Saccharomyces cerevisiae S288C: one gene and its partners. The protein of the gene in region 1 binds, or shares a complex with, the protein of each later gene. Each region holds a gene or a part of one and is shown in the gene's direction. Other genes may lie near its edges. The genes, in order: RRN9, UAF30 and RRN5.

Region 1 (3,371 bases):
ATACAATCGCTCATCTCGATATACTTATTTTTACATACCAGAGATATCGAAGAAGTTACTCAATTATTTGACAAGTGCTCATCATTATGTCATTTGAAGTTTTGCGTGTGACAGACAAGTCCTAATAGGATATCCTTTAGATAAACCATTGGGGCCCCTTATATGAGGTTTATACACACACATATATATGTATACATATGGCTAAATTGCCTTCTGAGAGCCTGATAGTTTTTTTAGCACTTTATTCTTTCACTTGTATTTTTTTAGACATTTCACGTATTCGGCTAATGGTATGGCACTTTCTCACGTGCCTTTCAGACTATGTAATATAAACTGTTCTAACCTGCTCTACACCTGACTCACATGACAGCATTTCCTTTCAGAATCACATAACATTTTTTGGTTTTAATTATCATATGCATTTCAAGGGAGTCATACATAACCTTTCGGGAAAGGCCCCTTCGCTTCCTAATCTAGGGTAAAAGGCCATCACAGGCTCTTTTATATAGATTAAGAACTAAGGAAGTGTCACGCAAAATAGTCGAGACCTAGAGCCATCAAGAATAATAAAACATAATCCAATAATGTCTGCATCTACTACAAGTTTAGAGGAATATCAAAAAACTTTCCTTGAACTGGGATTAGAATGCAAAGCACTAAGATTTGGGTCATTCAAGCTGAATTCAGGCAGGCAGTCGCCATATTTTTTCAATCTTAGTTTGTTCAATTCTGGAAAGCTGTTGGCAAACCTTGCCACCGCGTATGCAACTGCTATCATTCAATCGGAGCTTAAATTCGATGTTATTTTCGGACCTGCTTACAAAGGGATCCCTTTGGCTGCTATTGTATGCGTTAAACTAGCAGAAATCGGGGGCACTAAATTTCAAGGTATTCAATATGCTTTTAATAGAAAGAAAGTTAAAGACCACGGCGAAGGTGGTATTATTGTTGGAGCATCGCTTGAAGACAAGAGGGTGTTGATTATCGACGATGTCATGACTGCAGGAACTGCAATCAATGAAGCATTTGAGATAATCAGTATTGCTCAAGGTAGGGTAGTGGGTTGTATTGTTGCTTTAGATAGGCAAGAAGTGATTCATGAATCTGATCCGGAAAGAACAAGTGCTACCCAATCTGTTTCAAAGAGATACAACGTTCCTGTGCTAAGTATTGTATCACTGACTCAAGTGGTACAATTTATGGGAAATAGACTATCACCAGAGCAAAAATCAGCGATTGAAAACTACCGTAAGGCCTATGGTATATGAACTATAGAACTGACATGGACCATTTGATTATCATTGTTTGTATAGGAAAGAATAAATTTTTCTTGTATTCTTTTTTAATCAGTATACGTAAATAGCTTTTTATTGTTGGAGTTACGTGAGTTCTCGCATAGTAATTCATCAACTATTAGTGTCTTTTAAGGTTTCTTACTTTTCTTTTTGTCATGCTTCACTTGAGAGGATTTCTACTACTTTCCATAATTTTTCACTAAAATATTTTTCTTCTACAAAATAAACAAAAAGGCCTTTCGTGTTTGAAGATTACTCAGATGCAAGAATCACACTCAAGTTTAGCCATAAAGGGTGAAAATATTGATGTGTCGGCGGTTTTTTCTCTCTAGACATTTAACAGTTGCATTATAAAACTGTGCTGATTTCGGGACGACGAAATATATTTGAGAACAAACATTACGTGGGGTTTTGATGAGTGATCTTGACGAAGAAAGTCAAATTGAAACTCAGATCGATGCTCCTATCGAAGATATTATACGAGGATCTGAGCTTACCACTACAACCGCTGATAAAGAGACTTTGAAATCTGCAAATGAATTATTAGATTCTCTAGAACACTCGCACAGAGTCGACCTTTCGTTGCATTTATACTCTGCGTACCTCTTGAAAAGACTATTGTATAAGGCAAATGAAAAAAAACATTTTTATGAAGTAAACCAGTTTGTGAAGACCCAAATTAAGGATAACTGGACGAGCTGGCCTAATCCCAATACAATTATTGACCCTAGTGTAGACAAATTGTATGAAGATATACCGGAAGGTATTGCAAATGTAAGCGTACAGCCGGGGGAGATCTCAAATAGGGCTTTAATGCACGCCTCTGATATGATGAGGGTTGAGCTGGATGCTCAATGGCAAAAATTTCTCTCTAAGTCTGCCTTGGACCATGATGTAACTCTAGATGTGGATGAATTGAACATTCCAAACGAAATATCCCGGAATATCTTAGTTAAACTGGACAGCTTATTCGAAGGGTTGCATGATAAAATAGCCAAAGAGAACGAATTCGATGTAAGGCAAGATAAGCATTCTAATAATATAAGGGCGAATCAGATAGACGACGAGCCCATGCAGGCCAATCGACGAATTAAATACACATATCATGACTTGGTTTCAAGAGGTTGTGAAATGAACGAGGATATGACGGATATCTACATGAAATCATTAGAGCTATATAACGATATCCCAGAAAAGTATAAAAAGAGAAAATTCAGACTGCCCAAACAAATTCTAAAAAAGTATCACCAGCCAAAAAAGACCAGTTCATACTTAAAGGAGCTATTAAGTAAAACAAGAGAAGATTTCATACCTGTGGAAAAGTTATTGAAGGATAAACGGTTGACATCAAAGGACAAATCCAAGCTACAACGCTTAAATCGTGAAGAGACGGAAGATGCTCTAAACAAAAGAACATTTTTTCAGGTAAAGGGCTACTTAGAGGATGAGAATGAGATCTCTGATTACGAGTTGGACGACTGCCTCATAGAACTGCCTAATGGGAACATATGAATGAGAAAATCTTTTTTTTACCTTTTTCCATTAAGAAATATTCATCTCCTTTTAAGATCAACATATGTAACAATAAATATACTCTTTTAAAGATGTTCTTTTAATTTACTTACTGAAATTTAATATTAATAAAAGTTCGAAAACAAAGACTAAATACAAAAATAAAAAGATCATAAATTCAAACTTTTAAGAATGTCTTTTACGGATACATATTTACATATTAGACTATGATAATCATATATGCTCCTTTCTATCTCTTCTTGCTGAACTTTCTTCCTTTTTATGTTTTTTTGACTTTTTGGATTTTTTATGCTTCGATTTATCACCTTCATCGCTGCTATGCTTACTTTTCTTTCCTTTTTTACTCTCCTTCTTGCTTTTCTTCTTCTTCTTCTTCTTACTCTCACTGTCGTTACTAGTCTTTTTATCTTTTTTCAATTTTTTTCTCTTGACCTTGTTATCATCTTCATCACGCCTTCTTCTCTTCTTCCCTTTACTCGAACTTGCACTAGATACAACAAAGCTGGCTTCCTCCTTTTTACCAAGATTAGTAATGGTTCCTTT
Region 2 (3,297 bases), on another chromosome or scaffold:
TCAAACACACAGATGGATACCATGCATATGAGGTTAAAGGATTTCTTATGAATATATTAGTGGATTACATAGAAGAAATTACAAGGAACCGTGTGACGACATTTTCGAAAGGACAGCACAAGGCCATCGACCCTGGAGACGTATGAAATATGGTATACGTCCTATATTTGGGCAAGAAAACGGTAAAACTGTTTTACGCGGAGATCCAACTTTTGATCCTTACCGAGTACCACGAATCATCTATATGATCTTTTTACTAACTTATCTTCAATTTCAACGGAGAGATGTAAACATCATTCTCTCCTATGATAATTTCTTTTTTTATACAGAAGGTGTTGTTGTCGCCAAGAAGGATTTCAACCAAGCCAAGCACGAAGAAATTGACACCAAGAACTTGTATGTCATTAAGGCTTTACAATCCTTGACTTCTAAGGGTTACGTCAAGACTCAATTCTCATGGCAATACTACTACTACACCTTGACTGAAGAAGGTGTTGAATACTTGAGAGAATACTTGAACTTGCCAGAACACATTGTTCCAGGTACCTACATTCAAGAAAGAAACCCAACTCAAAGACCACAAAGAAGATATTAAGGAATTCGTAGCTCCAATTGAATTTTCTCTTTTGTAACATTCTTCTGGTTCTATATATCTAGGTTTATATTTTGATGTGTTGTACTTTCAATTACATTGAACTTATGTATATTTTTTAATTAATAAAGTGAAATCAAAAGCAAAGTCAAGGTTGCCGAGTAAACGGTTTGTATGGTATTTCTGTCGTATATAGCAGATAATCACCATATATATATATATACCATGGTGATAGTCTGTAGCTTTTACAATGCAAATGGCGGCGCACGACTATAATATTCAGAAATAGTAATTTCATCATCTTTTGCTTCTCTTGCCGAAATAGATACTTTTTTCGCGATCACCCTACGCATAAAAATTTTTCCAAGTGATGAGATGAGCCTTTAACAAAAAAAGTGCAGTTTGATTTCAGAAGGGTCGTTTCTTAGTGTACTTTATATCATCGACTAAGCCGTATATCCAGACAGCATATACCTATATACTATTCTAGATGTCAGCAGAAGATTACAAGAACTTACCAGTCACCGTTGAAAAGCCTATCCCAGTGGTATACGATTTGGGTAACCTGGCAGCATTCGATAGTAATGTCTTGGATAAAAACGATTTAGATTCTTCGAATGCTAGGCGTGAAGAAAAGATAAAGAGTCTTACTCGTGATAATGTTCAGTTACTAATCAATCAACTATTATCACTACCTATGAAAACAACAACGGAGTCTGTAGGTGGCACCGGCGGTCAAAGTTCCGTGATGACCTTGTTGCAGCTTCCTGACCCTACCACTGACTTACCAAGAGAAAAGCCACTGCCAAAGGCTAAGGCTATGACCAAATGGGAGAAGTTTGCAGCTAAGAAGGGTATTAAACCAAAGGAAAGGGCAGGAAAGATGATTTATGATGAGGCATCCGGTGAATGGGTTCCAAAGTGGGGCTACAAGGGCGCAAATAAGAAGTTAGATGATCAATGGTTGGTGGAAGTTGATGATAAAGTAAAAGGCACTGACAATGAATTGATCGATCCAAGAACTTTGAATAGGGCAGAAAGAAAACGTTTAGTCAAGAAGAACGAAAAACAACAAAGGAGAAATATGAAGAATGCCTTATGATAGTGAAAGACGTTGTTGCTTCCTACTTGCGTCCCCAATCGATCCGCTAACCTTTTTTTTAACTACAGCATAACCTCACATCTACGTATCCTTACATCTATAATATTTTTAAATAATTGTAAATTAGAAAAACATCAAAATTCCGTTCTATATTTTGATACATTTTTTTGCAGTAGTCCAAGATGAGATCAGAATAAGATAGGTGAAAATTTTAACAAGTACTAAAGCGTTCGTTGACAGCTTTCTTTGCGTTGCCATGGCTGAATTAAACGATTATAGTACGATGATCGATATTCTTCTCTCTGATATGGATTTGGAAACGGTCACAACTAAAAAGGTTAGGATGGCTTTGAAAGAAGTATATGCAATCGACGTTGAATCACAGGGAAAAGCAATTAACAAATTGATTAGGAAACATCTAGATCTTGTAAAAGAAAGGCCGCGCTTCGAAAGATCTCTTGAGGATCTGCTAAAGGAAAATGCTACTTTGGCGATTGAGCTCACCAAGGAAATTACCGTAAGCAAACGATCATCTGGAGAGGAAAAGAACGATAGCGAAACCAAAGGTACTCATGTTGAGAAGAAAAAAGGGACTGTTAGTAAGTCACCTATTTCAACACGAAAAGTTACACTATCTAAATCATTAGCGAGTTTGCTAGGAGAGCATGAATTGACGAGGACCGAAGTAGTACGACGACTCTGGGCATATATTAAAGCGCATAATCTGCAGAATCCTAACAACAAGAAAGAAATACTGTGCGACGAAAAATTAGAATTAATACTTGGCAAGAGTACCAATATGTTTGAGATGCACAAAATTTTGGCAAGTCATATGACAGAGCCTAAAAAAATAAGCGACTGTCCTCCTCTTATCCAAGAAGTCCGTAGAAAGGAAAAGCCCATCGTTTCAGATTCCGAGCAATCAGATACAAAGGGCATTTGAATCAAGGATATCATGAAAATTTCAAGGCGTTGAAATTTGTGTTGTTAAGGCAACACTATAGGAATGAAAAATGGCCTCTCTATTATAAAGTCCTTTTGCCTTATTTTTTCGGTAGCTGCCTACAATTTGTAACGTTAACATTCCCGGGTGAAAAGATACATGAGTATGTAGAGATTTGTATATATATACCTACGTAGAAAATAGAAAGGCGAATAGCTCTGCTCCTAGTTGAATATTAGTAGCGTTCTCACATCATTAAGAGGATAAGCCGGCATTTTATAGGGCTTTTGCAGCTAGTGTGAAACTTATGAATCGAACAGTCTCCACATTATCATCTACTGTATCTGATGTATCCGTGGAAATACCGTCAATATGCAACGTCATTAATACCGAATTACCAACATCAGATGTCTATCTTTACACTTTAAAACTAATTTTGTTGGATTATATCAACGAACCGCGATTTAAAGAAGCAGCTTTGCTATCGAATAGGACAGGAACGTCAAGGGTTTTATCTGACAAAACGAATCATCAGCAAACGCAACATGGGAAGAAACTAGTGGTTGACAAACAAGACGATATGTCGGAACGCGATATAGTACAGGCAACTTTACGTATATTAAAAGGGAAGTTGGCACAAATTTCAGGAAATAAAAACTT
Region 3 (3,573 bases), on another chromosome or scaffold:
ATCAGTCAATTGGTATTGCTGTATTAGGTTATCTGGTAAAGAAATGTTGATTTTTTTCATAAGATTCTGATATTTGTTTAACTTCCAGTGTGACTTGAGAAGAAATTCTTGGAGGCCTTTTTGTTCAGATAACCAAGCATCCGGATTGGTCTGGTCGAAATCAGGTAAAAGATCTTGAATGTAATCTGACGTGATCTTATAGTCTGTCTGGCATTGTGGAGTTCTTAAGATAACAGAATTTTCTTGTAATTTCAAAAGAGGCCTCATTGAGGTGGTAACAATGTTATCGAATTCGTCAATCTCGAACCAAATCTGCAAAAAAGGGGACGAGGAGGAGCCAGAGGTGGGCGGCACAGGAGTGAAGTTCAGCTGTATGAAGGATTGATGCGCATTTGTTATTAGATGTTGATCAAGAGGCACAGGCACAGGTACGGCTGATGATGATGATTCTTTGTACATTGGTAGATTCAGTAATTTTGAAATAAAACTCTTATGTATTAGAGGTTGGAAAATACTAGAAAAAGACGCGGACTGTAAGGAGTGACCTAGCGTTATTGATAAAGATTGGGAAATAGAGTCGGAAGGGGAGAGAGATGGTATATTTTTAGACAAGGAAGATTCGAATTGGCTGACCTGCGCATCTGTCAATTCTGGTGTGGCGTTTTCAGTGGGAGTCATCAGATCTGTGCAATTTTTAGGGACAACTGACTGTAATCTTGCCCAATCTTGTGACTTGTTTAGCCAGTCCAAGTTCTCTAGAGTATTGTTGAACGGATAGAGTTCTGTCTTGAGTGCTGGTGAGGCTATTGTGTGGTGGTGTTGAGTTGTGTTAGGATTAGAAGCGACGGCATTTAATAAAAAGACTTTGGCCATGGATATTTTCTTGGTGCTTAGGGCTGAAATCTTGTACATTTGCAAGTCCGGGAGGTATTCAAAAAAAGTGTGAGTTTCCTTCTGAATAAGGTTGATGACGTCTTTTGATGGCATGAGGGAATACATACGCACATTTTCATGAGTGATGTTTGACCATATTTTGTTTAAGGATATTTCTGCGTATTTGAGCAAGCTAGGCGAACCCTTGACGGTCAATTCGTTATCCTGAATGGAGATGATGAATGTCAGCCCGAGCTTATTGAAGTTGGTGAGTATTTTACCATTTTGAGTGATGAGTAAAAGGAAAATTTCTCTAGGAGAATCGAACTGGAAAGTCAATGATGTGGACTTGATGCCTGTGGGAGTGGTGGGTGTTGAAATTGGTTGGCAATTCCAGATTTTTTCAATTATATATTGGGACAGCTTGCTTTTCTTCCAGTGCGTCAGATGTGAAGAGGAGTCTGGCTGATGTGTGGAGATGAACTCGCGCAGTTGGTAGCGATTGTAGCTTGATGTAAGCGATTGGAGAAGGGCATTGTATTCCAGGGAGGGCAGACTGGCGCTTGTCGGTTTCTTCAATCGGATGGAGTTCAATGCGGAATCTAGTGAATTCTGCTTTTCGAAGACAAGGAGTTTCGAGCCGAAATCGAGGTTGTTATCTCCAGTTTCCTTATGGCTACGTTTCTTAGACGGCCTGTGTCTAGGCTGCTTCTGATCATTTTTCACTAGCCCAGATTGGGTAGGGTTCAAGACGACGAATTTCAGATTTTGCGGCAGTTTCTTCTTCCCATGAAGGGGCGAGCTTGGGCCTGAGCTTGAATAAAGACGGTAAGTAAGACGGGCGAGCTTTTTGTTGAATTTCCACATATGCTTACTCTATATTTTCTCCAGTGCCTTCAAGCTCCGTATATATTATGTACTAGTTTTATTACATTAAAGATACATAACTTTTTTTTTTTTTTTCAGTTCACTGAAATAAGAAAAGGCGGGCGAGGTGAAAAACAAAAAAAAAAGTATAGAGAAACAGAAGTGGAAGAAGAGCTAGGAAAGCACAGCGCATACGACGGTCACCTAGGATGGAGCACCAACAATTGCGGAAGTACGTCGAATTGTACAATAAGGAGGTCGAGGAATTCTACAATGGTGCCGCGTCAGGCCGCCCAGCTGAGTTCCATCCTTCCAAAGTACATGTAAAGAGCATCCATGAAAAGGCGGGTACCGCCAATGCTGGTGTAGAAATCTCTAGCGTTGGTGTAGACTGGGACAGCGAGGAGAAGAATACCTTTTTCTGGTGCCTTTCACGCTATAGTATCCACCGTGTAGACGAGTGGCGCTCATTGTTGCCTCGGAAGAGCGCCATGGAGATTCTAGGTTATTACAGGTTGTTAAGGAGAGCGAGTGCGAGCGCGAGATCGCGTAAGGCGGGTGACGACGGAGCGCCCATTGCGTACGAAATGAGCGCTGAGTGGGTTGCCCTGGAGACAAAACTGAGCGAGACAGTGATGGCCATCACGGAAGGCGCAGCCGAGGTTGCCGATGAGGAAGGACACTGCGAGGGCCTTATCGATTATGAAAGCTGGAAACGCAGGTGGGTGGCCATCTACTCGCACAGCCGTATCGCGGAGATAAGACCCTTGCCCCGCCACGCGCTGCCGCTATCGCGCAGCGCGACGCAGACTTTGGAGCGCTGCGTAAGTCGCTACACACGTACATTGCTGTGGTGCACGGCCCTTGCGGGTATGGCTTCCCGCAGCGTCAGCGCCAGGGCGGCCGAATCTCGAGGACACAAGTCGCTACCGACGGTGGTAACTCGCCGGCAAGTTGAGCGTGCACTATGCACAGAAGCCCGATCACGTGACCTACACGTGCTTCCAAGGCGCATTGTTTTGACACTGCGCAAATGGGAACTAGACTATCCGCGAGAGGGCAAACTGTTCCGCACCAAGGAGATGGCACATCTGTTTCTACAAAGCCAGTTGTCCAGACGGGATGCGCCCCCAGTCCATCAAGACGAAAATCAAGAAAATCAAGAAAATCAAGAAAATCAAGAACAAGATAACACTGCAAGTGAAGGTGAAAGCGAGGCAGAAAGGGATGAAATCGACGAAGCGGACTTGTTCCGATCAGCATTACATGAAAATCAGTTGCTAAAATGGTTATCCAAATGAGACACAATGCGAAAAATCGCGCAGGGACATAATTTTTGTTTTCATTATTCTTTCGCTTATTCCCTCCGTTAGCTCCACCGCTTTTTTGATTGGAATTTCCTTTCGGCAATGGCTTTCCGGTTACCACGCCTCGGGTTTCGCATCCCGAAAAGCATATCTACACAAGAAAAATGAATGATAAACAATTGATGAGTGGCGCTATTTCCCTTATCATCTCATTATTGTACTTAGTATCGTCTATTATCAGGAGAAATCGCATGAACTAAGCCCATTTTCTCACCCTTCTGCCTTCTTATATAAAGCTTGCTGGGAACCGAACACAAACTCCACAAGTCCGTAGCAGCTCTTCTCTTTTGTCTTTTATATATCATAAACATCGCTACATAGTAATAACACTAACGCACGCTAGAAATGATAGCTTCCAAAAGCTCCTTATTAGTTACTAAATCGCGCATACCCTCTCTATGCTTTCCTTTGATAAAGAGGTCCTATGTGTCAAAGACTCCGACACACTCTAACACGGCTGCTAATC

The links.
Region 2: RRN9 (region 1) and UAF30 share a complex: the UniProt entries of both Saccharomyces cerevisiae proteins name them as parts of the UAF (upstream activation factor) complex.
Region 3: RRN9 (region 1) and RRN5 share a complex: the UniProt entries of both Saccharomyces cerevisiae proteins name them as parts of the UAF (upstream activation factor) complex.

Annotation. Positions count from the first base shown.
Region 1 is NC_001145.3:804,762-808,132, reverse strand, and holds RRN9 (Rrn9p), read left to right. Parts: upstream 1-1,709; coding exon 1,710-2,807; downstream 2,808-3,371. Other genes in the region: orotate phosphoribosyltransferase URA10, read left to right, coding at 585-1,268; TMA23 (Tma23p), read right to left, coding at 3,042-3,371. UniProt on the Saccharomyces cerevisiae protein: Component of the UAF (upstream activation factor) complex which interacts with the upstream element of the RNA polymerase I promoter and forms a stable preinitiation complex.
Region 2 is NC_001147.6:867,258-870,554, forward strand, and holds UAF30 (Uaf30p), read left to right. Parts: upstream 1-1,950; coding exon 1,951-2,637; downstream 2,638-3,297. Other genes in the region: 40S ribosomal protein eS10 RPS10A, read left to right, coding at 330-595; YOR293C-A (uncharacterized protein), read right to left, coding at 741-890; ribosome biogenesis protein RRS1, read left to right, coding at 1,083-1,694; YOR296W (uncharacterized protein), read left to right, coding at 2,945-3,297. UniProt on the Saccharomyces cerevisiae protein: Nonessential component of the UAF (upstream activation factor) complex which interacts with the upstream element of the RNA polymerase I promoter and forms a stable preinitiation complex.
Region 3 is NC_001144.5:421,734-425,306, forward strand, and holds RRN5 (Rrn5p), read left to right. Parts: upstream 1-1,949; coding exon 1,950-3,041; downstream 3,042-3,573. Other genes in the region: SLS1 (Sls1p), read right to left, coding at 1-1,740; PUT1 (proline dehydrogenase), read left to right, coding at 3,453-3,573. UniProt on the Saccharomyces cerevisiae protein: Component of the UAF (upstream activation factor) complex which interacts with the upstream element of the RNA polymerase I promoter and forms a stable preinitiation complex.